Linked DNA regions of Oryctolagus cuniculus. The main gene of each other region encodes a partner of the protein of the gene in region 3 in a complex. Links are inferred from orthologs where the notes say so. Each region holds a gene or a part of one and is shown on either strand. Other genes may lie near its edges. The genes, in order: TRPM3, GRK2, GNB1, GNGT1, KCTD12, PTGDR2 and FFAR2.

The links.
Region 1: the proteins of GNB1 (region 3) and TRPM3 are in contact, whole or in part, in a crystal structure (PDB 6RMV), measured with the Mus musculus proteins. The link is inferred for Oryctolagus cuniculus from reciprocal best matches to the Homo sapiens genes GNB1 and TRPM3. Residues at the interface, in NP_001153488.1 of Mus musculus: Lys57, Tyr59, Trp99, Val100, Met101, Leu117, Tyr145, Gly162, Asp186, Met188, Cys204, Asp228, Asn230, Asp246, Arg314, Trp332; in NP_001349418.1 of Mus musculus: Lys615, Arg616, Lys618, Ala619, Lys621, Leu622, Leu623, Gly624, Met625.
Region 2: the proteins of GNB1 (region 3) and GRK2 are in contact, whole or in part, in a crystal structure (PDB 5UKL), measured with the Homo sapiens proteins. The link is inferred for Oryctolagus cuniculus from reciprocal best matches to the Homo sapiens genes GNB1 and GRK2. Residues at the interface, in NP_001269468.1 of Homo sapiens: Leu55, Ala56, Lys57, Tyr59, Ala60, Gln75, Asp76, Gly77, Lys78, Pro94, Leu95, Arg96, Ser97, Ser98, Trp99, Val100, Met101, Leu117, Tyr145, Ser147, Asp186, Met188, Cys204, Asp228, Asn230, Asp246, Ile270, Cys271, Asp290, Phe292; in NP_001610.2 of Homo sapiens: Tyr553, Gly556, Lys557, Asp558, Phe584, Pro585, Asn586, Arg587, Glu589, Pro597, Gln598, Leu600, Thr602, Glu604, Ala654, Leu657, Val658, Val661, Pro662, Lys663, Met664, Lys665, Asn666, Lys667, Arg669, Pro671.
Region 4: the proteins of GNB1 (region 3) and GNGT1 are in contact, whole or in part, in a cryo-EM structure (PDB 7L0P), measured with the Homo sapiens proteins. The link is inferred for Oryctolagus cuniculus from reciprocal best matches to the Homo sapiens genes GNB1 and GNGT1. Residues at the interface, in NP_001269468.1 of Homo sapiens: Leu30, Ile33, Thr34, Ile37, Val40, Ile43, Met45, Arg48, Arg49, Trp63, Ser84, Tyr85, Thr86, Phe235, Pro236, Asn237, Asp254, Arg256, Ala257, Gln259, Leu261, Ser279, Lys280, Ser281, Gly282, Arg283, Leu284, Leu300, Asp323, Gly324; in NP_001316355.1 of Homo sapiens: Met31, Val33, Lys35, Cys36, Cys37, Glu39, Val40, Arg41, Tyr43, Val44, Arg47, Ser48, Asp51, Pro52, Leu53, Val54, Ile57, Asn62, Pro63, Phe64, Lys65, Glu66, Leu67.
Region 5: the proteins of GNB1 (region 3) and KCTD12 are in contact, whole or in part, in a crystal structure (PDB 6M8S), measured with the Homo sapiens proteins. The link is inferred for Oryctolagus cuniculus from reciprocal best matches to the Homo sapiens genes GNB1 and KCTD12. Residues at the interface, in NP_001269468.1 of Homo sapiens: Arg8, Glu12, Lys15, Arg19, Thr184, Asp186, Cys204, Asp205, Ser207, Thr221, Thr223, His225, Glu226, Ser227, Asp228; in NP_612453.1 of Homo sapiens: Lys246, Asp251, Leu253, Glu255, Ser256, Arg257, Asp258, Pro259, Asp260, Arg261, Pro262, Pro263, Arg265, Arg269.
Region 6: the proteins of GNB1 (region 3) and PTGDR2 are in contact, whole or in part, in a cryo-EM structure (PDB 8XXV), measured with the Homo sapiens proteins. The link is inferred for Oryctolagus cuniculus from reciprocal best matches to the Homo sapiens genes GNB1 and PTGDR2. Residues at the interface, in NP_001269468.1 of Homo sapiens: Thr50, Arg52, His54, Leu55, Gly310, His311, Asp312, Ser334, Phe335, Lys337; in NP_004769.2 of Homo sapiens: Cys59, Arg60, Arg62, Lys314, Arg317.
Region 7: the proteins of GNB1 (region 3) and FFAR2 are in contact, whole or in part, in a cryo-EM structure (PDB 9CM7), measured with the Homo sapiens proteins. The link is inferred for Oryctolagus cuniculus from reciprocal best matches to the Homo sapiens genes GNB1 and FFAR2. Residues at the interface, in NP_001269468.1 of Homo sapiens: Arg52, His54, Leu55, Asp312, Ser334, Phe335; in NP_001357016.1 of Homo sapiens: Arg37, Gln38, Pro39, Gln40.

Annotation. Positions count from the first base shown.
Region 1 is NC_091432.1:159,810,223-159,813,722, reverse strand, and holds part of TRPM3 (transient receptor potential cation channel subfamily M member 3), read right to left. Parts: intron 2,460-3,500; coding exon 2,430-2,459; intron 1,692-2,429; coding exon 1,402-1,691; intron 779-1,401; coding exon 550-778; intron 1-549. UniProt on the Homo sapiens protein: Constitutively active, non-selective divalent cation-conducting channel that is permeable to Ca(2+), Mn(2+), and Mg(2+), with a high permeability for Ca(2+).
Region 2 is NC_091432.1:4,736,464-4,739,087, reverse strand, and holds the end of GRK2 (beta-adrenergic receptor kinase 1), read left to right. Parts: intron 1-27; coding exon 28-190; intron 191-287; coding exon 288-424; intron 425-510; coding exon 511-624; intron 625-937; coding exon 938-1,102; 3' UTR 1,103-2,124; downstream 2,125-2,624. UniProt on the Homo sapiens protein: Specifically phosphorylates the agonist-occupied form of the beta-adrenergic and closely related receptors, probably inducing a desensitization of them. Key regulator of LPAR1 signaling.
Region 3 is NC_091438.1:163,893,410-163,897,351, reverse strand, and holds the start of GNB1 (guanine nucleotide-binding protein G(I)/G(S)/G(T) subunit beta-1), read right to left. Parts: upstream 2,801-3,942; 5' UTR 2,529-2,800; intron 1-2,528. UniProt on the Homo sapiens protein: Guanine nucleotide-binding proteins (G proteins) are involved as a modulator or transducer in various transmembrane signaling systems.
Region 4 is NC_091447.1:42,000,558-42,004,684, forward strand, and holds the start of GNGT1 (guanine nucleotide-binding protein G(T) subunit gamma-T1), read right to left. Parts: upstream 2,801-4,127; 5' UTR 2,644-2,800; intron 2,550-2,643; 5' UTR 2,543-2,549; coding exon 2,447-2,542; intron 1-2,446. UniProt on the Homo sapiens protein: Guanine nucleotide-binding proteins (G proteins) are involved as a modulator or transducer in various transmembrane signaling systems.
Region 5 is NC_091440.1:35,613,310-35,617,390, reverse strand, and holds the start of KCTD12 (BTB/POZ domain-containing protein KCTD12), read right to left. Parts: upstream 2,801-4,081; 5' UTR 2,563-2,800; coding exon 1,579-2,562; 3' UTR 1-1,578. UniProt on the Homo sapiens protein: Auxiliary subunit of GABA-B receptors that determine the pharmacology and kinetics of the receptor response. Increases agonist potency and markedly alter the G-protein signaling of the receptors by accelerating onset and promoting desensitization.
Region 6 is NC_091432.1:11,723,167-11,727,421, reverse strand, and holds the start of PTGDR2 (prostaglandin D2 receptor 2), read right to left. Parts: upstream 2,801-4,255; 5' UTR 2,681-2,800; intron 738-2,680; 5' UTR 729-737; coding exon 1-728.
Region 7 is NC_091449.1:19,139,642-19,143,913, reverse strand, and holds FFAR2 (free fatty acid receptor 2), read right to left. Parts: upstream 2,801-4,272; 5' UTR 2,650-2,800; intron 2,186-2,649; 5' UTR 2,029-2,185; exon of another isoform or gene 1,883-2,028; intron 1,787-1,882; 5' UTR 1,786-1,786; coding exon 793-1,785; 3' UTR 112-792; downstream 1-111. UniProt on the Homo sapiens protein: G protein-coupled receptor that is activated by a major product of dietary fiber digestion, the short chain fatty acids (SCFAs), and that plays a role in the regulation of whole-body energy homeostasis and in intestinal immunity.

The DNA.
Region 1 (3,500 bases), on a different chromosome or scaffold from region 3:
CTTTTCTTCATTTACGAGTACATTAGGATTATAGAGCAATGTCTTTATATGTAAGCGTCCTATTTTAATAATTTGAAAATTTCTCAAGCATATTTGTTGAGACCCAGGGTCTGTATGACATGATGCCAGGAACAACGCCAGGGACTTCAGGCTGCCACTGCATGCAGAGCTAACCAGGTTTGGGCTCCTGGTTCAGCATGGCTTATGCCACTGCACAGGTACCTGGGCATAACCATCACAGTGTTCTGAAAAATATTGTTTGGGCCCCATGTTTAGATATTCTGGTTCAACAGGACTTGGGGGTTGGGGGAGAGATTGCAGTGCATATATCTCTCTCCATATATATATATATATATATATATACACACACACACACACAAACACACACACACACACAAAACCACCAGACAGGAGAGTCTGATGGGAGTTAGGATTTAGCATCATCCTCCTGAGATAGAGAATGTCCCATCTCACTGCAGATTTGGCTTGGCAAACTCCAACCAACCCACTGGCCCTCATAGCCAACAGGGCCTTCTTGGGTGCACTGACCTTGAGGCCCGAGTTCTTGCGCATGCGGAGCCGGCCCATCCACATGTCGGTGAGCAGCATCTGGCTGCATGTGTGGGCAATGAAGTCACGGTGCTTGGCAGCCACCGCGAGCTGCAGGCACGTGGCATTGCTCCAATTCTTTAACTCATACGTCAGCAGTTTCATGGCCAGCTGCTCATCCTGCTTGTAGGACTGATCCAAGAGCTCCACTGCCAGCTGGCCAAAGTCCCTGAAAGGAAAAGGGCATAAGAGTCCTTCAGGTCAAGTGGGAGACTTAGGTGAGAAAGGCAAGCACCCACTGCCAGTCACAAATGCGGTTGATGTGGAGTAACTGTTTCATATGGGGTCTGGTCTGTGCTTAAGTTCCTCTAGTCACATCCACTAAGCATCTACTGTGTGCCAGATACCATACTCAGAAGTGGAGATGTCAGTCAAACAAGCCAAGATCCCTGAACTCAGAGCATTCAAGGCAAAGGATGGGAGAAGCAGTCAACCAAGGAATGTAGGGTGTCTTCTTCAATGTGACCGACCTCAGTTTAAATCCCAGCCTTGCCAACCACAACTGTGTAACCTTGGACAAATTACTTCAAATCTCTGAGCCTCATTTCCACAGCCAAAAGAAGTGCTTGATAATTGGACCCATCTCTGGGTAGGCTGATAGGATGCGGTTTTATCTTCTGCGTGTCTGCAGGTGCCTCTGTGTGTAGCACTGTGCACAATAAAGGCTAATTATTTTTGTTCATCCTCTGGGTGCAGCACTGGGGTGACCCTGCTCCCCTTAGAGTTTTGGGCAGCTCAGACTCTCCAGTCTTTGGGGTCTATCTGACCACCCTGCTCCCCAGGCTGGCTAACCTGGAATTGTGATTCAGTTCCTGAGAAATGTCATCCACCATGTCGTTCTCGGAAGCCTCGTGAGCCATGGCTTTGCAGAGCTTACAGGCCACGAGGGCTTTGGCCATGGCCTCCTCGCCATGTTGCCAGAAGAACAGGGCCATCTTCTGTCGCTTCATGAGGACGGCCCACACCATCAGCTCGTGGAAAGGGAAAGGGAAGTGGTTGATCTCAGGGTCATCCAGGTCAATGTCCACCTCCTCCTCCCGCTTCTTGGTTGTCTTTCTTCCTCGCCTCAAGGGGATATCATCCTGTGGTTTTAGGGAAACACATAGAGGAGGAGTTAGAATTGAATCTGTTTATTTTAGGGAATTACTGTAGATCTTCTGTTGGCTCAGCTCTGGAGCAACACTTTAATGAACTAGGCCGGCTCCTTTCTGAAAAGAACTCACAAGCTCATCCATGCCTAACTATCTAATATAATAAATGCATAGGTCTAGTCCTAGGGGAATATGTAAGTTTTATACTTAATTAAAATGGTTTTAACGGGTCTTTTCCTTTCCACTGTAGTCCATGTTTTTCCTCTACTTGTAGGACTGTTTATACCACATGAGGACCAGCACTGTCTTTTTTGCTAAAAGGACAAGGGCATCCTTTCCTTGCATCTGCATGTACAACAGTAGCCACGTGGACAATGATTGGAAACAGACCATCTCAAGTTTCTGCACATTCACGAGATGCACTTGTGGAGGAGTTCTGGGCTTTTGTAAATACCCATGAATAGATTTTGCTTACTGGAATTTATATACTTCCTGGGTTTTCAAGTTAGTATTTCAGATAGGATTTTTTTTTTGTTGGCAATGCTAATATAACCTCCTGGCAGAATTTTCAAAGCTATGGTCATAGCCCCCATGACACTTGGACAATGTTCATTTCCTTATTTTAAAATCATACACTAAGCTCTACCACTGAAATGAGCTTACATGTTTATTTTTTAAATGTGTAATAAAAAAGAATAATTGACACTAAAAATTTGAGCAAATGCTTACCTCCATTCCCAGCAGTTTCAAGGCTTTGGGCTGTTAAAAAATATTGCAAACAAAGTTAGGTCTTTCTTTCATAGTGGTAAGAACAGAATCCTACTGTATCTTCAACAAGTAATATAAGAACTCTATTGTACTCTATAGTATTTGCTTCATGTCACTAAACAAAACACCATTTATTTACAGAAATTCTAGGGAACTAGGGATTGGGTGATTTTGGTGCATCACCAAAAACTAGGAAAGTAGAGAGAAACATAAAGATTATCTGAGGCTAGAACTGGTGGGTTTATAATGTCGGCTGTGGACCAAGATTTCCTTCACCCTCTTTAACAATCCTGCTTCACTGACATCTCTGTGACATCCAGTACTTGAATGAATGCTATGGTCTGAAGGTTTGTGCCCCTCCTCAAAGTTGTGGTGATGTCTCAATCCCCAAAGTGATAGCGTTAGGAGATGGGCCTTTGGGGGAGGTGCTGAGGTCCAGAGGAATGAGCTTTCATAAATGGGAATGGTGTCCTTACAAAAGAGGTTTGTGGGAACCCGCACACTCTTCTCCCGTGTGAGACGAGGTAGCAGGCACTGTCTCTGAACCAGGAAACAGGCCCTCACCAGATGCCGGGTCTGCTGCTGACTTGATGAAACTTCTCAGCCTTCAGCACCAGAAGCAGTGACTTTGTGCTGTGTACCAGCCACCCTGTCACCCTGTCTATAGTCTTTCTTTTTACATGCAGAGTGGACAGTGAGAGAGAGACAGAGAGAAAGGTCTTCCTTTTTGCTGTTGGTTCACCCTCCAATGGCCGCCGCGGCTGGTGCGCTGCGGCCGGCGCACCGTGCTGATCCAATGGCAGGAGCCAGGTGCTTCTCCTGGTCTCCCATGGGGTGCAGGGCCCAAGCACTTGGGCCATCCTCCACTGCATTCCCTGGCCACAGCAGAGGGCTGGCCTGGAAGAGGGGCAACCGGGACAGAATCCGGCGCCCCGACCGGGACTAGAACCCGGTGTGCTGGCGCCGCAAGGCAGAGGATTAGCCTAGTGGTGCCGGCCCTATAGTCTTTCATTATAGGGGCTTGAGTGGACT
Region 2 (2,624 bases), on a different chromosome or scaffold from region 3:
TGACGGCCCCCTGTCCCTGCGGCGAAGTTGCTGGACAGCGACCAGGAGCTCTACCGCAACTTCCCCCTCACCATCTCGGAGCGGTGGCAGCAGGAGGTGGCCGAGACGGTCTTCGACACCATCAACGCCGAGACCGACCGGCTGGAGGCGCGCAAGAAGGCCAAGAACAAGCAGCTGGGCCACGAGGAAGGTGAGGGCTCGGGCGGGGCGGGGTGGGCCTGGCGGGGCCTGGCGGGGCCTGGCGGGGTGGGCCGCCGCGCTCAGGCCCCTGCGCTCTCTCGCGCCAGACTACGCCCTGGGCAAGGACTGCATCATGCATGGCTACATGTCCAAGATGGGCAACCCCTTCCTGACCCAGTGGCAGCGGCGGTACTTCTACCTGTTCCCCAACCGGCTCGAGTGGCGGGGCGAGGGCGAGGCCCCGGTAAGCCGCGCAGGTGGGGAGCGGGCGGGGGGCGCCGGGGGCGGGGCTGGGCCTGGCCTCACCCGCCACCCGCCCGGCGCCTGCAGCAGAGCCTGCTGACCATGGAGGAGATCCAGTCGGTGGAGGAGACGCAGATCAAGGAGCGCAAGTGCCTGCTGCTCAAGATCCGCGGGGGCAAGCAGTTCGTGCTGCAGTGCGACGTGAGTGGGCGCGGGGCGGGGCTCCCGGGGGGCGGGGCTCCGGTGGGGGCGGGGCTCCAGGGTAGGGGCGGGGCTCGCGGACGGAGCTGGATGGGAGCTGGGACCCCAGGCTTGGGGGCGGGGCTCCCGGGTGGGGGCTGGGCTCCCGGGCCGGATGGGAGTGACTCCTGGCTTGGGGGCGGGGCTCCCGGGCAGGGCGGGGCTCCAGGGTAGGGGCGGGGCTCCCGGACGGGGCGGGACTGGAGCTGGGACTCCTGAGCCCCCGGGGCGGGGCTCCGGGCAGGTGCTGACGGAGCCCCGCCCCCGCCTCCAGAGCGACCCCGAGCTGGTGCAGTGGAAGAAGGAGCTTCGCGACGCCTACCGCGAGGCGCAGCAGCTGGTGCAGCGGGTGCCCCGGATGAAGAACAAGCCGCGCTCGCCCGTGGTGGAGCTCAGCAAGGTGCCGCTGGTGCAGCGCAGCAGCGCCAACGGCCTGTGAGCCGCCCCGCCGCCTTTTGTAGACCTCTAATTTATTTTGTCGGATTTTTATTATTTGTTTTCCCGCAAAGCGGAAAAGGTTTTATTTTGTAATTATTGTGATCTCCTGTGGCCCCAGCCTGGCCCAGCCCCCAGGGAGGGGCCCGCTTGCCTTGGCTCCCGCTGCCACCCCTGGCCACTGTCCAGTGCCCCCTGCCCCGACCTCCAGGGGCCGCCTGCTCCCAGTGTCTTCCTGTGAGAGGGGCGAGGCGGGGCGGCGGGCCTCTTGCCCCTGGCCCGGGCACGACGTCACACTGACTGTACCCTGGGGCTCCGCGGGCTGTGTCCTGTGCCCAGGGTGGGGCTGGGGGATGGGGGCGGGGCCTCTGCCACAGGGAGGCGCAGCACAAGGATTCTACTTGAACTTGCCCACTGCGGCCCTTCCCGGGACATGGGGACAGACGGTATGCTGTCCTGCTCGCCGGCCGCTGGCGGAGAGAGGGGACCTGCTGTATCCTGTGGCGACTCGGGCTCCGGTGCCCTGTTCGGGAGAAGCCTCCGTGTCGCAGCCTGCCCTGGACACCGTGGCTCAGCCAAGAGGGTGGTGTGGGCAGCAGGTGCTGCCCCGCCCCGACACCCCTCTCTCCCAGCCCCCTCTCCCTCCCACCCGAGCACTTGGGCTCAGGGACCACAGAAAGGCAACTGTGGATTGGGCCATACTGGCCTAGCCTGGCCTCAAGGCCCCCCAAGCCCTGGGCCAAGGGAGGCCCCGCCTGGGTGGGCGGGCAGCATGGCGCGAGGGCCGGCCGTGTGCCCCTCCACAGCCCCGTCCTGTCCGTGCCGCCGGGCACCGCCTCGCCTGCCGCATGCCCCTCGTGCCAGTCGCGCTGCCGTGTGTGGTGTCGCACCCTCTCCCCGGGGGCTGGGTCGGCGCGCCCTCCCCTCCGTCTGCTCACTCCCTGGGGTGTTTCTTTGCCGATTTTTGAATGTGATTTTAAAGAGTGGAAAATGAGACTATGCGTTTTTATAAAAAATGGTGCCTGACTGCTTGTCCGAGTCTCCTTGCATGTGTCCACTGCTGCTGGGTGGGGGGCTGATGCGGGAAGCTCCCGGGGCCCCCAGAGCCGGACCCTCTTCTAGGGGAGGCAGGGCACCCCCACTCTGCCACCGTGCCCCGCTCCCCCTTGGCGGCCATCCAGTACCCATCCCCTGCCTTCTGCCCACCGCCCCGGCAAGCTGCCAGTGGTGCCAGTGGCTCCGCACTTGGCATCGCTTCGCACCAGCTGGCCACCTCTGCCTGCCTGAGCAGCCCTGCTTGGCAGGCTCCCGGCTGAAGTCCCTCCCCGGGGTCAGTCCAGGAGGCTGTGCTGCCCTGTAGGGTGGACCGCAGCCCCCGGCCAGGGCGGCCCTCCTGGCTTCGGTCTCCCCGCTGGCCTTGCTGTATGGCCCCCAGGTCCAAAGGCTTGGGGCGTCGCCCTGTAGCAGGCTGCTCACCTTCCCGGTCAACTTTTGCCCACAGCCCCAGTGGAGGCATGGGGCAAGGC
Region 3 (3,942 bases):
GCCTTCAGCATTCCAATTCTAGTAGGTTACAGGATACAGAATTAACCTGCCCCTTGATAAAACGCATTACGTTCGCAGTGATTATTAAATCATAATCATCTCTCATCAGTGGCACAACAGGCTGAATTCTCGGGTAATTCTAAGAATCATTTTAGTTAAGTCTCGTCTTTTAAATTAAGCTCTTCGGAAAGGCTCCTTCTCAGAATTCCGATTTAAGCTAATAAGGGAATACGTTCACTCAGTCTCACTAGCAGCGAGCAAGCAGCCCGGGTCCACGGAAGGCAGCGCCTGCACAAGGACACAGGACGGAGCTGAGGCGGCTCCTCGCCTCCCCTGGCCGCGCACGGCTCGCGGCCCGGAGCCGCCGCACTTCCCAGGTGCGGGGTCTGAAACAGAGCTCACAGCTGTGGGGCACAGGCGCCCCGTCCCCCGCAGCCCAGCCACAGGGCCCTGCGCTCCCGTACGTATACACACTCCTTCAGTGTGAAGTCTCAGCCATGTAAATCATTTCCCTGTCTCAACACACATTCGCTTTTATTACAGATTTATTTATTTACCTGAAAGGCAGAGTTACACAAAGAGAGGCAGATACAGAAAGATCTCCCACCCACTCACCCGCCGGTTCACTCCCCAGATGGCCGAACCGGCCAGGGCTGGGCCAGGCTGAAGCCAGAGCCTGGAGCTCGGTCAGGGCCTCTCCCGTGGGTGCCGGGGCCCAGGCACCCGGGCCTCCCTCAGCTGCCCTCCCAGGCGCACCTGCGGGGAACTGGCTCAGAAGTGGAACAGCCGCTGGGGCTCAAGCCCCTGGATCTGTTCTCATCCCCCCATTTCATGTGAAACCGCTTCGTAATCCCACCACTCATTTCCATCAGCAAACACAAACCTGAAACCAGAATTCAAAACAGTGTTTAAAAATAATCTAAAGAACCCTGTCCACGTCTTACGAGACTTGCACTAAACAGGGGTTTCAAAATCATATTGCTTGCCATATGGTCAAGCCCAGATAATAAAATTGAGCCTATCTATTACCAATCCACTAACGCTGAAGCCAAAGCCGCAGGCAGCAAGAATTTAATCCAATTTGGAGACTGACATGAGCCAAATCTCTCGGGCGGAGAAAAACAATCCAATGAAGAAGCTACAGCAGATGCCAACACTGCACTTCCGAAATGAGACCAGTGTTCCTCCTCAGAGCAGGATGAGCCAGAGCCCACTGCTGCCCGCGGGGCCGAGACCCCCACCCTCCCCGCCGGCCGTCTGGGGGCCACACTTTCCCGGCGCAGCCAAGAGAAAAGTTCAGGGCGCGGCCCCTGCCCGCAAACCCGCCTCCGGCACCGGGCAGGCGGAGCGCTCTCCGCTCGCTGCTCCGGAGTGAACACGAAACCGACCCCTCGCGTGCCAGGCAGCAGGGTGGGCGCGGGGCCACCTCCTCAGGCGCCCCCGGCGCGGATTTCCACGCAAGAAAACCCCGCAGCATCCTCGGGGCCCTCGCCGGCCCCGGCCGGGCACCTGCACTGCAGCTGCGGCCCTCGGGCTCCCGCCCAGCCCCGCCGCGCACCGCGTGTCGCCGGCCGGCGGAAAGGGAACTGCTCCCTCGCCGTCTGGCTGCCGCGCACCCCCGGAAGCGCCCGCATCCTCACGTCCAGACGGCGCTCCTTCCCTCCAAAAAGCCTGCAGCTCCACCGGAGCGGCACGCCACGCACACGCCACGCGTGCCCCGGAGACCCAACGCGCTGCCCGCAGCCGCCTGCCATCCCCGCACCGGCGAGCTGGCCGTGACAAAAGCCCAGCTGTCTCCCCCGGGCAGCGACGGTGACAGCACGGTCGCACCGACGGACACACGCAGCAGCCCACCCCGCGCCCACCCGGCGCGCCCCGGAGGGCTCCTCCCGCGGCCGGCGCCCCGCGCCGCAGCGCCCCACGGCGCCCCCAGGACGAGCGCGGCCCCCAGGACGAGCGCGGCCCCCGGAGCACGCGCCCCCACGCGGGACGCCCAGGGCCGCGGGGGGCCCGCAGCCCGCGGGGCCGGCGACAATGGCCGCGCCGCGGGGTCGCCATCTTGGCCGTGGGGCCCGGACGCGGCGCCCACGCCGCGCGAGGGCCGGGGTCGCCGCGGGGTCTCGCCCGCCCGCGCGGCGCTGGCCCCCGAGCTCCGGGCCGGGGCGGCGCGACCGCCGAGCCCGGGGCCGCCCGCCGCGGCCGCCCCTCCGCGCGGCGGGGCTCCCGCGGCCCGGGGCGCGCCAGCCTTTGTTCTCGCGGCCGCGGTCCGAGCCGCCGGGCGGGGGCCGCCCCCCGACCCGCGCTGGCCCGGGCGCGCCCTGGCCTCGGGGCGGGCTCGGACCCCCGCCCGCACCCCCGCCGCCTCCCGGGGCCCCGCAGCCCCACCCGGGCGGGGCAGGAAGACGCGGCCCGGCCGGCGGTGGGGGCGGGGCGGGCGCCGGCGGGCAGGGGAAGGGGCCCGCGGGGACGCCGGGGCACCGGGGACCGGGCCGGGGGGCTCGGGGCTGGGCCGCGGCGGCCGCGCTCACCTCGGCGCCCTCGCCCGGCCTGACGCCCACGCCGCCGCCGGGGCCGCTCGAGGCTGGCGCTCGGGCCGCGCTGCGGGCGCTGGGCAGGTGCGCGGCGAGGCTGTGGGTCCGCGGCGGCTGCTCGCTCCGGCCGCTCCCGCTCCGCTCCCGCCCGCGCCCGCCGCCGTCCGCCCCTCAGACGCCTCCAGCCATCGGGATGGGCGCGGCGCCCCTGCCCGCAGCTCGGGAAACCCCACGCGCCGCGTCACCGCGCACGGCCGCCGGGCGCGCGCACGCACGCGCGCTCCCCGAGCCGACGCGCGCGTGCGCGGGGCTCTTAAAGGAGCCCCGCGGCCCCGGCTGCGGCCGGACCTAGGCCCTGGCTCCCCTGCTCGCGCCGGCCGGCGCCCGGAGAGCCGGTTCTGCGCCGCGCACGGGCCGAGGGCCGGCGCATTGCGGGAGACGGCGCCGGAGGGCTCTGGAGCCCGGTGCCCCCGAGTGGCCTCCCGCGAGGAGCGACCACGTGCGTGCCGAGGCCCGACAGCCGAGGCGCGGGCGCCGGGTGGGGAGGGCGGGGGTCGCGATGCGTCCGCTGGAGCCTCGGGGGCCGTGGACTCGCTCCCCCCCCCCGTCCAGCTGGTCTGGCCGCGGTCCCAAGTCCAACCCGAAGCCCCTTTCCCCGGGCGTGCGCCCGTGCAGCTGGGCTCGCTGGAGCCGCGGCCTGGACCCTCCACACCGCGTGGGCCCCGCGTGAGGCGGCTGCCAGGCAGAGGGGGGGTGCGCGGACCTGGGTGTGCCACGGAGCACGGGGAACCTGCAGGATCTCGCCAAGGCCCACCCCACGCCGCGGGGCCCATGTGCGGAGGACCCTCCCCCCGCCCTGCTGACCCCCACAGGAAGGCTCCTGACTGTGTGCACCAGTGTGGGCGTGTTCTCCTGCCCCCCCCCCGCCCTGTGACTCCAGCTGCTGGCTCCGGTGGGGTCACCGCCCCAGACATGTTGTCCTCTGGCCCTGGCCGCCTGAGACCCTGACCGACCCTTGCCCCTGCCACAGTGCGAGGCCGGCCTCGCCCACCGCTCCCCGGCCCCACCAGGCATCCCCGGGAAAGCCACAGCAGGTGTGGAAGATGTGGGGTGATGCTCGGCTGTGCCCAGCACAGGGACACCATACAGTGGGCCCTTGGTGGGGCAGCTTCACTGGCCAGTGGAGTGTGAGTGGTGGGCACAGATATGGGCCTCAGGGAAGGGCTGGCGTGCTGGGCAGCCCCAGGGCCACGGGGCAGTGGAGCCGCAGAGGGGTGGATCTGGGCATTGGAGGTGGGTCCCGGCCTCAGTGCCCACCCGAGGTCCAGGACACAGGAACGTCGGCAGGGAGGCGGAGGGTGCAGCGCGCAGGCCAGAGCGGGCAGGGGCTGTGTACGTGGACGCCGGGAGG
Region 4 (4,127 bases), on a different chromosome or scaffold from region 3:
TGAGAAGTGCATTCTTTGGTGAAGACAGCTCATCTAGGGTCCCATTACTGTAAAATAAGAATAGCAACACTGGTTGCATTAAGCGCCTAACAAGAGCCTGACGCAAGAAGATGCACCATCAAAGGTAACTTCTTTTAGCAAACACTACAAAGATTGTTTTTAGCCATTGCCTGCCTCATCATTGAGAATCTGTCAGTTTTAGAAACTAGATGCAAAGGGTTTTCTTACTCTGACAATACTAGTGCATTGACAACAAAATAGATTGAGGCATAATATGACAAGTTTGGTTCATAGATATTAATAATTTTAAATATCAATAGTAAAATAGTGTAGAAAGCACTTGTGTCCTGGACGTTGTTCTCAGAACTTTGTGACCATTGTCATATTTATTTCTCCCAATTGTCCTCTCAATTAAATGCTATTACTACCTCCACTTTGAAGAACACAGGCAGATGTCAATTACGTAGATTAGCTTAAGTGAAGGTGACACAGGCCGAAAGTTGTTGTGGAACCAGAATCTGAGTCAGGAATATGGTTCCGAATCTACCCATTGAACCATGGTAGTGATACTACGTCAGTCAGAACTCTAGGTTCAGGACCTGGCGCTTCCATGATGAATATGTGTTCACCTGAATGCTTTATCTCCTGCAAACCTGTGCACTGAAATCCTAACCCCTAAAGTGGTGGTATTAGATCATGGGAGCAGAACCCTCACAAATGGAAGCAGTGTCCTTAGTGAAAAGACCCAGGGAGCTTCCTAGTTGCAATCACCAAGCAAGGACGGAGGGAACAGAGCACTGTGAATGAGGGAGTGGGCCCTCACCAAACACCGAACCTGCTGTGCACCTTGACCTTGGATTTCCCAGTTTCCTGAATAGTAAGGAATAAATTTCGGTTGTTTATAAGCTACCCAGGCTGTAGCACTCTGCTATAACAGGCTGAACAGACTAAGACAATGTACCTCCCCCCACACACACTTCTCTCTCTTTCTGTGTGTGTGTGTGCGTGTGTGTGTGTGTGTGTGTGTGTGCAAGTGCTTGCCATCTGATATTCCAAGAGCCTGGAAACTGAATAATAGGGGAAAAGGACCCCAAAGCCTGGTGGATGGTGATGTATATGAACTTTATCCCATATAAGAATTCTGAGGTAAATTTACCACAAGTGAATAATAAGTATGAAGACAACCAGATTGCTTACAAAACAACAATCCTGAGTACACAAATAATAAGACAGTGTTTGGATTTTTTTTTTCAAATAAAGAAGAAAGAAAAACATTCCTTTACCGCAGACATTTATTTTTCCTTCAAATTACAAAGATAAGGGTTTCAACTTATTTCTTGCATGTTCCAAGTTTTGTGCTGGTTATAGACTTAGTTTTATCTTTACAGTGAAACACATTTTATTTCATGGAAAGGAGAGCAGGTAAGTTTGAGACAATTATAAATATAAAAGAAGCTAAAATCCCAATTTTGATTGGGAGTAAAATTGTAAGCAAAGTACGAAGAGAATATAAACTCCCTTTCCACTTTGTCTTGATAAAGTTAGATTTTTTTAAAAAAATATGTAATATGCTGTTATCATCTACAGAGAAGTTTTTGTTCTACAAATTTCCTAAAATGAAGAAATCTAAAATGCACATCTGTGTTTTCCAAGCTTCAGTCACTGTTTATTGTTGGAAGCTTTATTCCTTTGCCATTTCTATTCCTTCTAAGTGCAGAGAACTCTTGTAACCATTTCTGAGACCTGCCAGATGTGTCTAGGAGGAGCCAAGGAGTTCTTGTGCTTGAATTCTTTGTTAGGTAAAAGAAAATTTGCAAAAGAAGAATGGAATGCATTCATTTATTTCTGACCATGACAGTGCTGGGATCTGAGGTCATGGCTCTAAGTGTCTCAACAATCACAAAATATTACATGGAAAAAAGGAAAAGCTTGTGAATTTAGAAAAGTAAAAACAAAATACCTGTATGCATTGCTTCACTTTATTCTATAGCTAAAATACGATCTCTATTTCATATTCTTCTTCCCTCTCTTCTGTCCTTTGTCTGTCCTTTCTTCCTTCCTTCCTTCCTTCCTTCTTCCTTCCTTCCTTCCTTCCTTCCTTCCTTCCTTCCTTCCTTCCTTCCTCTTTCTTTCCTTTTTAAAAAAATAACTCTTTAAACTGTAAAATCTTTCCTAGTTTGGCAGTCATGCAAAGCACAGATTAAAGGTTAAATTTGGCTTATGGAAAATAATCTGCTTACTCCTTGAATTAAAGTCTCAATCAACAAAGAATTATGATTATTAATTTTATCAGTCTCTGATGAAGTTTTACTTGAACAGTTTATTTTGAACCATATTTAGCCTCCTCAGTCAATAATAAATAAATGAAAGACAGTTAATGCTTTCCAATTTAGCATTCCACAACATCTTTAGCTTAAACTAAATCCAGAAGCAAGCAGGAAATTACCAGCATTCTTTCCAGAGTCACCTCTTTCTTGAGCTGGTCAACTTCCATCTTCAACTTGTCCTTTTCCGTCAGGTCTTCGATATTGATCACTGGCATCTTTCACCTGCCAAAAAGATAGGAAGTGAACACATAGAACTGAGTTGCTGGAATCACTTTGAGTCCACCTTAGCCAACTGTGCTCTCAGTTTGTCACTTACTAAGCAAGCTGTTCTTTGTTTTATTTTAAATTTCCTGTGATAATCAATTTCTCATGAGCCGTCTCTGAACAATTCTAGCACTGAACAGTAGTCTTGGGATTTTAAAGCTTCTTCGTAATCTTCTCTAATATGATTAAGCCAAGTATCTGACTCTAAACACCTGCCAGTGGGTTTGCAAGGAGGGGTCAGTGCCGTTCTATAAAATCTGAAATGCTTAAAGCTCCTCCTTCCCCCCTCTCTTTGTCATAGTGTAAGATTTCGGGTCATCAACCTTCATCTTCCAGTTCCAAAGCTGCTCACTTTATAATTTGTGCCATTTAACCTAGTTCGAGGTCATTTTGAGGACTGCTCATTAATCTGCTAAATCACTAGCGTACTTAATCTGGTATTTAAAAGGAACCGTATAAAAAGTGTTATTATACTTCAGTATAATGACTTGAAAAGTGATTAATTTGGAAATACTATAAACAACCTTCTTCATCAGAAATAAAGTAGTGTACTATTTACAACTGTGTCTCCAAGCAATACCTGGGATTTCTATGTAACTCTCATGAATTGTATAACAAGGATAAACAAATGCAGTAGGTTAGCAGGGGTACCAATGCACATCTCAACAAGAATAGACCCCTCCATCCTACTAGGAATCTTCTCATCTCTTCAGTTGGAGCCATCTTCCTCATTACACATTGATTCAAGTGATCCTCCTGTGAAATTCTCTAGGAAATATTTCATGGTAGCCAAGTGGTGCCCTTACAGGGATTCCTCTTACAGGATACCACATGTGCATCATTTAGTTCCCTTGACATCATTTGTAGTAGATGCTGTTGTTGCCCTGCCCATATCTCCAAACTTTCCTGCACAGGTTGGTTTGGCTGATGAGAACTCAGGTATTAACTGATTGAAACTAGGAGATTCTTCTCCAAGCTGGTCCCTGAGGGTATTGCGTAACAAAAGGTTGGCTGATGTGTGGTCCAAACAGCCTCACCTTTCACTTCTGGACAAGCTTTCTGCAATACGGAACCTTCCAGAACTCCTCAGGTTTGGGATAATGCTAGTCTTCTGAAACCTCATTTTTTATTAACTTCTCCTCCTGCTCCATCTTGCTTTTCTTACTCCTCCAGAGGTTTCTTCTGTGAGCTTGCCCTTGATAAATCACTTAGGTTCTGCTTCCAGGAGATCCAACCTTAGATATAATGGATCATTAGGACCTTTCCTAGGAAGGACAGACTCTTTGTAACTTTCTTGTGCTCATTTTTGCTTGCCTATTATTGTCTGTATTGTTTAGCACACAGAAGAGAATCAGGAAATCTTGACAAAGGCACTTTTAAAAAAAATTTATTATTTATTTGACAGGTAGAGTTATAGACAGAGAGGGACAGAGAGGTCTTCCTTCTGTTGGTTCACCCCTCAGATGGCCGCCATGGCCGGCGCCGTGCTGATCTGAAGCCAGGAGCCAGGTGCCTCCTCTTGGTCTCCCATGGGGT
Region 5 (4,081 bases), on a different chromosome or scaffold from region 3:
TGTTGGTTACAGTTTACCTCTAACACCATTTTATTGCTCAGCTCGCTGTTAAGTAGTTATTTGCCTTCATTTTAGAAATCTCATTTTACAGCTATCTACACAGATGGGTAGCCCCTGGTGCTCCTACTTCTCAGCAGCTCTGTCACTTGAAAAGATTCTACTTGAACTTCAAACAAACTGCGTGGGGGGAATGTGGCATTCTCAGGTTTGCCCCGCAGTCAAGGGTCACTGGCTTTGAAGAAAATGAGGATTTTTAATGAGATCTGAAGTCTAAGAAGCCAAGAGCAAACTCCCTTTGCTCAAGTAAATAGATTCTAAAATCGAGATTGATAACCACAAGGAAATTAAAAGTTCAAAAACTAAAACCCTACTGGGTAACTCTTTGGTTAGATTAGATACCTAGTAGCAACTTCTAAGTTTAGGACTAAAAACAGTTAAATAAACCGCAGTTAAGAGTAGGTCTATTACTAATCTTCACGAAATGCTTAGCTGTGTTTGCATTTTACCATTCGGTATTTTCAAATATGCACGTATTCAAATGGATGCTTAAAACTTCTAACTTTCAAATAATAAGAGTATCTATCTGTCCCTCCCTTCCCACCCTCTTCTCCTACCTCCCCACCCCACCCGCAAAGTCCTAGCTCTAAGAAAGGTCCTATTACCATTCACTGCAAGAATACAGTTCTGCTAATGCCCACGAGCGTCTCCTGGCCCGGTCGCGAATACAATCACTTCCAGGTAACCACTCCCCACGGAGCGGAGGCCTGTTTGGTTCTAATTCTTAGGAGACCAACACCCCTTCTCCCTCTTGCCCCCAAGGGCTCCCACGTCACCCCAGGGAACCAAGGGCTCCTGGCGCTGAAAGGGCGCCTCGCCAGGCAGGAGGATCCACGCTCTCCAAGTTTCAAGACCCTGTATTCCGTAGGGAAAAGACAGGACCCTTGACCATGTGAGCACCAGTGCTCCTACGTCTACACCTGCAGCTTTTCAAAACCTCACTCGTGTACAACCGAAGTGCCTCAGCGACGCCCTCAATCCGGCTTCACAGAGGGTCAGCGATGGCAGTGAGCTGTTAGGACACCAACTCTCTCCCCCAGGCGGGGTCACCATTCTGCGCCCTCACACCACACGGGTGTCAGAAGGGCTCGAGATCTCAAGGAATCTTCGCAGCACTGCACAGTCTGAACGGGTTCCCAACACCTCGGTTCTCCCCCCCGGTTCGTGCCGGCTTTGTAACCACACTGGCCCGCTGGATCCAGATTGAAGTACAATCTGGGGGAGGAGAGGTTTGAGGCAGCAAAAAGAGGAAGCATTGGGTGGGGGTGGGGACGGGGACGCGCCTGGGCCCCCTAGGTTAGCCGAGTCCGAAGAAAAGAAAAGAGGATGGATTTTTCTGAAGCGGGGGTGGGGGAGGGGGTGGGGGGGGTGGAACGGTCTGACCCAGGACAGGACCGGGGATTGGGGACCTCGGGGCAAAGGGAGACAAAGGGCAAAGGTTAGGGATGGGGAGCGGTCTCTGATCCTCTCCCCCGCCGAGGGGTGGGGGCGGGCGCCGGAACCGCGAGGGGTCCCGGGAGCTCACTCCCTGCAGAAGACGTACTCGGTGTAGCTGGTCCAGATCTTGTCTTCGCTCTGGTCGGTGCTGCCGGCAAAGGCGCAAGTGCCGGTGGAACTGCAGGCCACCATGTGGAAGCCAGACTCAGACAGCTTGTCGAAGGCCTGCTCCAGGAAGTTGAACTTGAGGTAGTAACGCGAGGTGTAGCGCTCCGGCGGCCGGTCAGGGTCCCGGCTCTCGTTCAGGGTGTCCCCGAACACCTCCTTGGCCAGGGACGTCTTGCCGCACACGGTGATGCGCGCCACCCGCCGGAACTTGGCATCTGCCTGCGCGTCCCGCCCGATGGTGTAGGAGCCGCGGTAGCCGATGGTGATGTAGCCCGAGCGCCGGCTGCCGTCCAGCGACTGGGACGGTGTGAGCAGCGGGCCCGCCGCGCCCCCGGACGGGCTGCGGCTGGCCGGCTCCAGCGTGGGCGACGGCGCCCCGGCCGAGGCGCCCTCCTGCTGCTCGGGCTCCGCGTAGCCCAGGGCCAGCAGCTCATCGCCCAGTGAGCCCTCCTTGGGCACCCCGCGCCGCGAGTGCGGTGGTGGCGGCCCCGGGCCGGGCTGCTGGGGCGCCCCGAGGCGGCGCACGAGCTCGGGCAGCTCGAAGTACTCGGCCTCCCGCTGCAGTCGGCTGCGCTCCGGGAAGTAGTCGGGCAGCACGAGCTGCAAGTCCCGCAGGTAATCCAGGATGTAGCGGAAGAGGAAGCCGTCCCGGTCCAGAAAGAAGCGGCCTTTGCTGTCCCGGGCCAGCTCCTGCGGCTGCTGCTGCGTGAACATCCGCCAGAGCAGCGAGTCCGGCACCGACACCACCGTGCAGCGCCGGGTCACATACACCTGGCCCCCCACGTTCAGCTCCACGATATCGGGGAAGAGCGGCGGCTCGGCGGACGACGATGAGGAGCCGCTGCCGCCCCCGCCGCCGCCCCCGTTGGGTAATCCTCGCGTGCTGTCCGCCAGAGCCATGGCAAAGAGGTGGCCCGGCTGGGGCAGTAGCAGGGAGCAGGACTGCACTCGAAAGCTGCAGCCGCTTTCCCCGGAGCCCCTGCCCGGGACGCGCTCTCAGCCCTCCGCCCGAGCCCGAGCCGCACGGAGCCAAGTGCAGCTAGCGCGCCCCGCTGTGAGCCGCGGGAGCTCCGCTGCGCTCCGGCTGCCTCGCCCGCGAGCTCCAGGCGAGTGCCAGGTCGCAGCCCGCGCGCAGCTTAAGTAGAGGCGCCCGCTCCGGCGCCGTGGCGCGCAGGAGGCGTGGGCGGCCGCTGAGCGGTGGAGCCAGGCTCCCCCCACCCCAGGCGGGAGGGTGGGGCGTGCTTGCGGGATCGATTTGCATCTTAAACGCTGACGCGGGGCCTCGGCTAGGCTGCTGGCTCCACCCTGGTTCAGGCGCACCCAGGGGCGACCTCGCTCCCAGCCCACGGCACGCCTGGCTCCCCAACGGCCGGCTCCGTGCTTCTGCCCAACTTTCTCCCTTCTCCCGAAGCGCTCAGAGCCCGGGACTGGCTTCGTCGCAAGACAGCAGTGACCACTCCGATTCCCTCCAACCCCGGCCCGCACGGAGGACTCAGACAGAGGACGCCAACTTTCTGACACTCCCAGCCCTGGGACTGGAAGTGCAGGGCCACCTCCAGCCCGGCCGACCCCGGAATGGACCCATCCAAACCACGCAGCCCGGGCGCTGCCTTCCTGGGGTATGGTAGTTTTAGAAACAAAAAAATCTGGAGACACAGAGAAGGCCGCCCAACCCGGAAGGAGCCACACTGTGTGCACGGTGGCCTCAAAACGAGCCCTGGACACCAAAGGTTGACTTCAGAGTCCTGTGCAAAACTCTTTCCCCAAGTTCAAGCTCTGGGTGCAGCGCCAGAGGCGCTGGTCGGGGAACCTCAAAGTAGGAAGCTGTGAGCTATTACAGCACCAGGGACTTGGCTGGGCGAAGGGTGTGATGTGGGGGCGGCCAATGCAACCACCTTCCCTCCCCCGCAGCGCTGTCTAGGCCAGACTGAGGGAAGAGTGAGTCCATACTGGACATTGTAAATGATACAAGAAATCCCAGTGTCTGCCTGATCACTCCCACGTGTGGATCCTGCCAGAGATCCATGCACCCCCGCTCTCCTCCACGTCCCCGTCATTCCCTTCAGCCCTTCCCCGATTTCCCCAGAGGGAGATTTTTGTAGATGGGACAGCATCTTTTAGATCCTTTCTGGCTCCCCAACACTTGCTCCTTGCACGTTACTAGACAGATGGCAGCCCACATGCCACCTCCCCCGGAAGCCTTCCCTGGCTTCCCAAGAGGGTAGAGTCTCCGGACTGCTGCCTGCACACGCACTGCCTCCCGCCCCACAAGTCCGGAATGTATTTATGACTTTGTATACAAATATATACGTGCACCTGAGCGCGTCGGGAAGCCGAGGAGAAGCCAGAGGAAGATAAGACGACACGACACGGGTCAGGGTCAGCGAATGTTTGCTGGGCACCTGCTGTTTGCCGCTTC
Region 6 (4,255 bases), on a different chromosome or scaffold from region 3:
CGGCCGGACCGCGGACGGCCGCGGTGGCGCAGCTGCACGCTCACGGCCGCGTGGCTGGAGGCGATGATGACCAGCGGCACCAGGAAGGCCAGTAGGAACTTGCTGATCGCCAGGGCCGCCTGGCGCCAGTTGCAGGTGGCATCGAGGTCCGGCCCGGGGCTCAGCAGCAAGACGTTGTAGTAGCACATGATGCGTCCGTCCCGCCGCGGGATGGTGTCACGGAACACGAAGTAGGGCACGGTGTTGAGCACTGCCAGGGCCCAGAGCGCTAGGCAGAGTCGGTGCGCCGCGGCCACCGTGCGGTGGTTCTGCGCCCACACGGGCCGCACCACCTGCAGGCAGCGGTCCAGGCTGATGGCGCTGAGGAGGAAGCCCGTGGCAAACATGTTGAGGAAGAAAACAGAGGAGTGCAGCTTGCAGAAAGGGGTGCCCAGCTCCCACGAGTGGCCCACGGCCAGGAAGTAGGTGAAGAAGGGGAGGGAGGCGGCGGCCAGCAGGTCGGACAGCGCCAGGTGCAGCACCCAGGTGGTGACCACGGTCTGGCGCATGCGGAAGCCCACCAGGAAGATGATGAGTCCGTTCTCCACCAGGCCCAGCACCCCCGCCAGCCCGTGCAGTAGCACCGAGGCGTGGTCCATGTAGCGGATGCTGGAGTTGCTGTGGCTTTGCAGCTGGCTCATCTGCTCCAGGAGGGGGCACAGCGGCTTCAGCGTGGCGTTGGCCAACATGGTGGGGCCCTGTGGGGACAGGGAGGAGGCACCCAGGGGAGCGTTGTGGTGGGGAAAAGGCGCTGGGGTTGGCTGGGATGGGGGATAACATTCCAGCTCCCCCTCCCCCTCCCTGTACAACCTCAGGCAAGGCATTGACCCTCCCTGCGCCGGTTTTCTCCCCATGTGGCTTGGGTAGCAGTCCTGACAGTACCTGGCTCATAGGGTAGCTTAACTGGAAGAGTTAAATGAGTTAATACACTAAAGCGTGTAGAACGCACACAGCAAGGCTGTACCGGTGTCATGTGATTATTAAGCAAATGATCTAAGACAGCGAGGTCGGCCACCAAGGACTCCTTTACCCACTCCCCAGAACCCCTGTGGGATGACTCTGGGCCCCAGTGGGGGAAGCAGGGTCCAGAGAGGAGCAGTCTGGGCCACCCCTTCCCACTCACAGCACCCCCACCCTTGCCTCTCTGCAGATGCTTCCAGCACCCTTGGCGTCCACCGTAGTGGCAGATTGAGTGTGTTGGCTGCAAAGAGAAAACTTGCCCCTCCTCCGCAAGTAGGAGAGGAAATAAGATAAGAGGAGGGCGTGAGCCCTGCAGGAGGAACCACCTGATGGGGGCCCTAGGAGCCCAGGGGCCAAGAATCTCATCCCTGCCTGCCGCAGGAAACTCAACCCTGCTCCCTCCTTGATGCCCTCAAACCCACGCCTGCTCACACAGGAGGTGCCAAGCAGCTGCTCAGGGACCTGCTGGACAAGCCAGGCTCTGGTAGAGGCACCGTGCTGGGACGTGCGTGCTCGCAGCCTCCCCAAGAACCCCAGACCCTCCAGTGAGGAATCAAGTGGGCCACTCCCTGTGGGGGTGGGGGGTGCTCTAGTTGTGCTGGGTTCCCAGGCCACAGCAAGGATTGCAGCAGATCCTTCCAAGAGGCACTCTCATGTCACGGGTCTGCTCCATCCCATTTTACAGAACAGGAAACCGAGGCTGATGTGTACAAGTACCTGGCCCAGTCACCCAAACTGCAGAACCATGTACAGGAGCAACAGTGGAGAACGCGAACGCGGCTGGGGCTCTATCCTTGCTTAGAGATAATGGGGGGGGGGGGGCAAGAAAACTGTCGTCCAGGGTGAGAAAGTGGATTCCTCTCCAGGGATCACAGTCCTTTAGGGTAGTAACCTGACATACAAAACTGGAGTTTCCCTGGGAGACAAGGCCTTGGGGTCAAGGGTCTGCAGGCAGGTGGGAGGGGAGCAGCTGGGCCTGCACACCCTGAAAGTGGCCGTAATTCCTAAGTTTTTGGGCTTATAGAGCAAATACACTCGCAATGAGACCCTGTTTTTCAGAAGAGAAAACAGGTTCTGAGAAGCTCAACAACATGCCCAGTGCTCCTCGGCCGCAGCCACGGGGCTGGGACTCATTCCCCACCGACAGATAAGTGCACCACCGTCCCCACCCTGTGCCCAGAAACATCGCTTCCTGTCTGAGTCCCCTGGGGCTGCCCAGAGCGCACAGTCCTGCTGCACCCCTGGGAACCATCCAGACCTGGCCCTCTAGCTACATGGAGACAGCCCCCAGACCTCCAGGGGGTCCAGCAGCTGGGGTCATGCTTTGAGAGGGAGTTGGGAGAAGAGAATACAAACTTTGGGAATCCAGGACCTGGATTTGAATCTTAGCTCTTCACCTCCTGGCTGGGTGAACTTGGATCAGTTATCCTAAGCCTGCTAGTGTAATCTTGCCACCCAAATGGCTAGCACACATTGAAAGAGACAATATGAATGGTTTACCATTGTGTTTGGCATCCAGTTAAGGTCTGGGAAAATGCAGTCCCCTCCTCTGAGCATCTAGCCTCCCCTGGTCTCTGCCTCCTAATTGGTAAGAGCCCTCTCTCCTGGTAAAACTGTGCCTTCTCTGTTGGATCCAGGGAGGCACCAGGACAACCCCATCCCTGGGCCCCCACCTCCTTACCTGAGCACAGAAAGGGCACAGGATTCCAGGCCCTGCCGAGCGAGCAGGGAGCTCCCAGCAGTAGGCAGAAGAGAGGCAGCAGGCAGGCGGAGGCAGGGAGTGAGGTTGAGGGAGGAAACCGCTCTCAGCCCCAGAGTGCGTGCGTGCTTGTGTGTCTAGGGGTGGGGTGGCGGAAGGCGGGGACAGCTGCCAAGTGTCACGCTGGTGTTCAAGTCTCATTCCTCTCCATTCATGCCGGCAGTTCCTGCTCCATCCCTGCCACGGAGGAGACGTTGCAGAAGCCCCAAGAGCAGTGCACATGCACATGGTGTCGTTGCTGTGTGCACGGAAGTGGGAGCCCCAGCATGCTTTGGAGAGTGACAAGAACGAGTGCAGGGGCCAGGGGACGTCTTGACCAGCTGCCCACTGTCCCTGGGATACCCTGCCCGACACCATAATCCTCAAGAGAGGGAGCCCGTCTGGCTATTCTGGGGCCCCGTGCTGGCGCTGCCCGCGCTACCCCCGCCCCTCTCACAGGAAGGTCAGTCACTTCCCTTTGTGGCCTCAACACAGTTTTGCCACCTGGGACTGGCAGTGATCATGCCTGCCTCTCAGGTCAGGGCAAGGGTTGAGGAAGTGTTACCTGGTGCACAGTAAGTGCCCGACAAAAACAGCTCCTCTCCCTGGGAGGGAAATGGGTACAGGGCAAGGGCTACACTGCTTTTATTTTCTAAATAGGCTCAAAACCCTAGGAGACGGGCCAGCATTGTGGTGGTGCAGTAGGTTAAGCCACTGCCTGCTGAGCCAGCATCCCACATCAGAGTACCTGTTTCAAGTCCCGGCTGCTCCACTCCAATCCAGCTCCCTGCTAATGCACCTGGGAGGGCGGCAGCAGATGGCCTGAGCCCCTGCCACCCACATGGGAGACCCAGGTGGAGTCCCAGGCTCCGGGCTTCAGCCTGGCTTAGGGGAGTAAACCAGCAGATGGAAGATTTCTTCTCCCTCTCTCTCTCTCTCCCTCCCTCTCTCCCTCTCTCTCCCTCTCCAGTGTCTCCCTTCGTATCTCTGTCTTTCAAAGAAGTGCATTTTTTTTAAAGAAGCCCTAGGGGAGGGGAAAAGACTGAATCTATGCATTGGCATTCTACTGTACCCTGACTCTTTGTTTTTTAAAAAAATTTATTTTATTTATTTGAAAGAGTTACAGGGAGAGGTAAAGACAGAGAGAGAGGTCTTCCATCCGCTGGTTCACGCCCCAGATGGCTGCAACGGCTGGAGCTGCACCGATCCGAAGCCAGGAGCCAGGTGCTTCTTCCAGGTCTCCCACACGAGTGCAGGGGCCCAAGGACTTGGGCCATCTTCTACTGCTATCCCAGGCCATAGCAGAGAGCTGGATCGGAAGAGGAGCAGCCGGGTCTAGAACCAGCATCCATATGGAATGCCAGCACTTCAGGCTAGGGCGTTAACCTGCTGCGCCACAGCGCCGGCCCCTACCCTGACTCTTGACCACCCTTCGATGACCAAGTGCCAAGTGTGCTGGGGTGGGGGCCACTCCTCCAGCCCAGCATCTCTTGGGAGCCGCTGGAATTCTCCCACTAT
Region 7 (4,272 bases), on a different chromosome or scaffold from region 3:
ACAAGGTTCCTGGGGGCTCTGAGGCATTGCCTTCCCCGGCGCAGCTGCATCCAGTTCTCCACCCCATTCTGCCTTCCCTGTGCTTACAGAAATGCTACAAAACGGGGCCACTCGCTGGAGAGGTTTAGTGTCTTTATTTCAGTCTCCCAGACCAGGTGGCTTTTCCTGCACTAGGCCGGGTCAGCGTTAGACTAGGGGTGCCCAGCCCCTTCCCGGAGGCAGATGAGACCCAGACCTCACCCACCGGTGGGGGATGGGAGAACACAACACTCGAAAATGAGCAGAGCAATGGGTCAGACTGGTACCCTGAACCCCAACCGCATTAGAGGTCGGTCTAAGCCCCCAGCCCTCCCTTCTGGTCCCCTTAGCTCAGGACCTTTTTGGGCTCTTGCTTTTGTTTAGTATTTCCCAACCATCTCTCTCCCGTTGGCTTCCTCCAAGCAGCAGCAGCAGCGAGACCAGCGTCTGGGCGTCATACCCAAGCTTGGGGCGAGATCCTTTAGGCCCCTCCGCTGCCCTTGTCTGGTCATCCCAGCCCCCAGCCCCCTCCCAAGGACTGAATTCAGGTTAACAGCTCCTGAAGCCCTAGCCTGACGGTGCCTCCACGCCTAACCGTTTCTTCTCGTGTCCTTGGGAAGGGATACCAAGCTGGCAAGGGAGCCTTTTACCCAGTCCCCGAGGTGGATCAGGCCCCAGGATTCCCGAAACTGGGACGGGACACCTCCTGCTCCGGCACCCTGGCTGCCCACCCCCTGTGCCCTCCAGGGTGCTGCCGAAGGTCCAGGGAGACCGCTAGTCCGACATGAAGTCCGGAGTCGCCATTCCCTCCGCCCGACTCCCAGCCCTGCCCCCTCTCGTCACCTCTGCCGTCTCTTTGCCCTCGCGTCCCAGGGGCGAGGAGCCCGGGTTCCGGAACAGCCGCAGCCCTTTGCCGAAAGCGCGGCGCACAGCGGCGGAGGAGAAGTAGAACAGCAGAGGGTCCAGGCTGGCGTTGAGCGCGCTGAAGACCACGGCCTCCACCCGCCACGGGGGGCTTTCCTTGAAGTAGAAGCCCACCAGGTGGGAGAAGTTGTAAGGCCCAAAGCACAGCAGGAAGTTGAGAAGCGTCACGACGGCCAGCCCCACGGCCCGGCGCCGCCGCTGCGTCCCCACGTGGGGCTGGGTGAGCATGATCCACACGAAGCGCCAGTAGCAGAAGATGGTGACGGCCATGGGGATGAAGAAGAGGACAAGGCAGAGCTCCAGGCGCACAGGCAGCACCACGTCCAGCTGCTCCTGCGTGAAGTTCTCGTAGCAGGTGATCTCGTTCCGGCTGCCCACCTGCTGGGTGGCGTTCAGGTACTGCACCACGATCACCACGGTGCAGTGACCGAAGGACATGATCCAGGCCACCAGAGCGGCGATCACGCCGTACACGGGCCGGCGGGCGAGCTTGTACTGCACGGGGTAGGCCACTCCCAGGTAGCGCTCCATGCTGATGCCCGCCAGCAGCCACGTGCTGCAGTAGATGCTGCTGTAGAAGCCGAAGCCCGTGAGCGCGCACACGACCTGCGGCAGGTACCAGCGGAAGTTGGACGCGGCCTCCACGATCTTGAAGGGCAGCAACAGCAGCAGCAGCAGGTCGGCCACCGTCAGGCTGAGCAGCAGGATGTGCACGGGGGCCGGCTGCGGCTGGCGCACCCTCTCCACGAAGGCCCGCAGAGCCAGGAGGTTGGCGGGGAGCCCAGTGAGGAAGATGATGATGTAGGCCGTGAGGATCAAGGAACTGTGCAGGTCGAGCCTCATCCTGGAGGAGGATTGGGAGAGAGGGCAGGGTCGGGGCCTGGCCGGGGCCGGGGCCGGGGCCAGGGGCGGGGTAGGGGGGCCCTCCCAGCCGGCGGACCTCCTGGGGATCAGGACGCGCACATCCTCCCTGGTGCTCAGACCGCTGCCCGGGCTCCAGCGCTCTGCCGCTCCCGCCACCTGCCAGAACTGCCCAGAGTAATTATTGACTTTGCCTTGGGCGGGATATTAGGCTGCAGTAATTACGTTTGCCATCCTGTGTCTCTGGGGGAAACCAGCCCTCGGCTGCCTGAGGGAATTCCCCCTGCAGGTTGCCGGGCCTTTCTCCTTGTGCCCTCACAGCTATGGGAAGTTGCTGGTCACAGCGTCCAACTTCGCCGCAGGCTCATTCCAGCTTGGAGACCTGCAGGAGAGAAAGGCGGCAGTGTGAGGGCCGAGCAGAGCTGGAAGGCGGGACTCAGGGGCACCGGCTGCTCTCCCTTCTGTCTCCTGCACCGCACGGAGTCTCCGCTGCTGTGTCCAGCCCTGTCCAACAGCAGCCCCAGGGGACTCTCTGGAAAGACGAAGCCGGGGAAAAGTGGAGAAGGGGAAGGGTGAGCCAGTCCTGTGCTTTGGGGCTTGTCCCTGAAAGCCCTTACAGAGACGTCTAGAAAAGCCCACGGCCACAGCTGTCTGGCCCCTCCTCTTGCTGGGGTGCCTCAGTTTCCACATGTGGCCAGTCCAGGTTCCGCTCCCCGTCTTGGGTGTGAGCCCCCAACTGCAGTGCGTGTGACAGATTCCTCTAGCCCACCCAACCTCTCCCCCGCCCCACGAATTCTGAGCCCACCGTCTCTTTCCAGAGCTCGTGCCCCAAGCTAGCTGCCTTGCCTTGTCTGCCTGCGTTCCAGAGAGATGACTCCGGGGAGTTAGTCCTGAAGGAAAAGTCTGGAAGCTCCTAGCAAGGAGGGACAGAGCCTTAGCCACTGCTGCTGGCTGCTGGCTGCTGGCTGCTGGCTTTATACCAGCCCGTGTCATGTGACCCGAGAGAGGCAGGTCAGCGGTGAACACGCTTCCCTCGCGAACCCAAAGCAGAAGGCCCTGGCTCCTTGGCTCTCTCCCTAGAGATCCTGGCTCTGACTTCCAAGCACAGATTTGTCTCTTCCTAGTTCCTGGTTTTTTCTTTTCAATCACAGGCATTTTCATTTCTCACTTTCCAAGCCAGAGTCTCCTCTTTTCTTTGCTAGGCGATTTCTTCTGTAATTCTACTCTTCTTAGAAAAGAGATTTCCCACTTCCTTTGATGGATTATTATTATTATTTACATTCTATATGATCTCCTGCCCTGTGTCTCCGGCAGACTTCTCTGGGCCTTTCAGTTGGAACAAATTGGCTTTTCCTAGCTTGCGGCTTGTTCTGCTGGAAATAGTGTGGGATGTGGAGTCGGGCAGATGTGGGCCCCGATCCAAGTCCCCTCACGGGGACCTTCGGGTGATCAATTTCCTGAGCTTCAGTTTCCTTTCCAGTGAAGTGAGCCTGGGAACACTGACAGCCAGGATTTCTGTGAGGTCGCCTTTGGCAGGGTGCTTCAAAAAATCCGGGGAGATAAATTAAGATCCATTTATTTTGGTATCAAAAAAAAACCATGGAAAGCCATGCATAATTTTTTTCATAATACACATCTCCGTACACTTTTTGAAGATCCCTTGCATGCACAGATTTCAAAATTTTTCCCACCAAAGCAAAGGTATCCTTGAATTCTACTATCCAAGACCTTTGTGCGGCTGAAGCCCTGGCTCAGTTCAGGATGGTCTGGCCACCTGCTGTGAGAAAGTGTCAGGAATGCAGGTGGCCCTGGGGAGTGGGTCTCGGCTCCACCCCCCCCCCCCCCGCCCCTGTTTGCCCTGTTTGTGCTGGGCCCAAACTCTGAAGCATCTTTGTTTTTTCCCATTATTTCCCCCTCTCTTGTGTGCTCCAGGCTAGAAGTCCTTAAACTCCTTTGTTTTCTTTATTCTGTATTAGAGAGGCAGAGGGAGGTGGGACGGAGTTGGGCGAGGTCTCTCCGTGTCTGGTTCCCTCCCTAAGAGGCCAGCTCTGGCTGCTGTGGGGGTTTGGGACATGAACCAGTGCATGGGAGGTCTCCATCTGCATGCATCCCTCTCTCTTTCTCTGCCTCTCAAAATACTTCTTTTAAAAATTAAACACACTGGCCGGCCCGCAGCTCAATAGGCTAATCCTCTGCCTAGCAGCGCCGGCACACCGGGTTCTAGTCCCGGTCGGGGTGCTGGATTCTGTCCCGGTTGCCCCTCTTCCAGGCCAGCTCTCTGCTGTGGCCCAGGAGTGCAGTGGAGGATGGCCCAAGTGCTTGGGTCCTGCACCCTATGGGAGACCAGGAGAAGCACCTGGCTCCTGCCATCGGATCAGCGCAGTGCGCTGGCTGCAGCGCGCCGGCCGCGGTGGCCATTGGAGGGTGAACCAACGGCAAAGGAAGACCTTTCTCTCTGTCTCTCTCTCA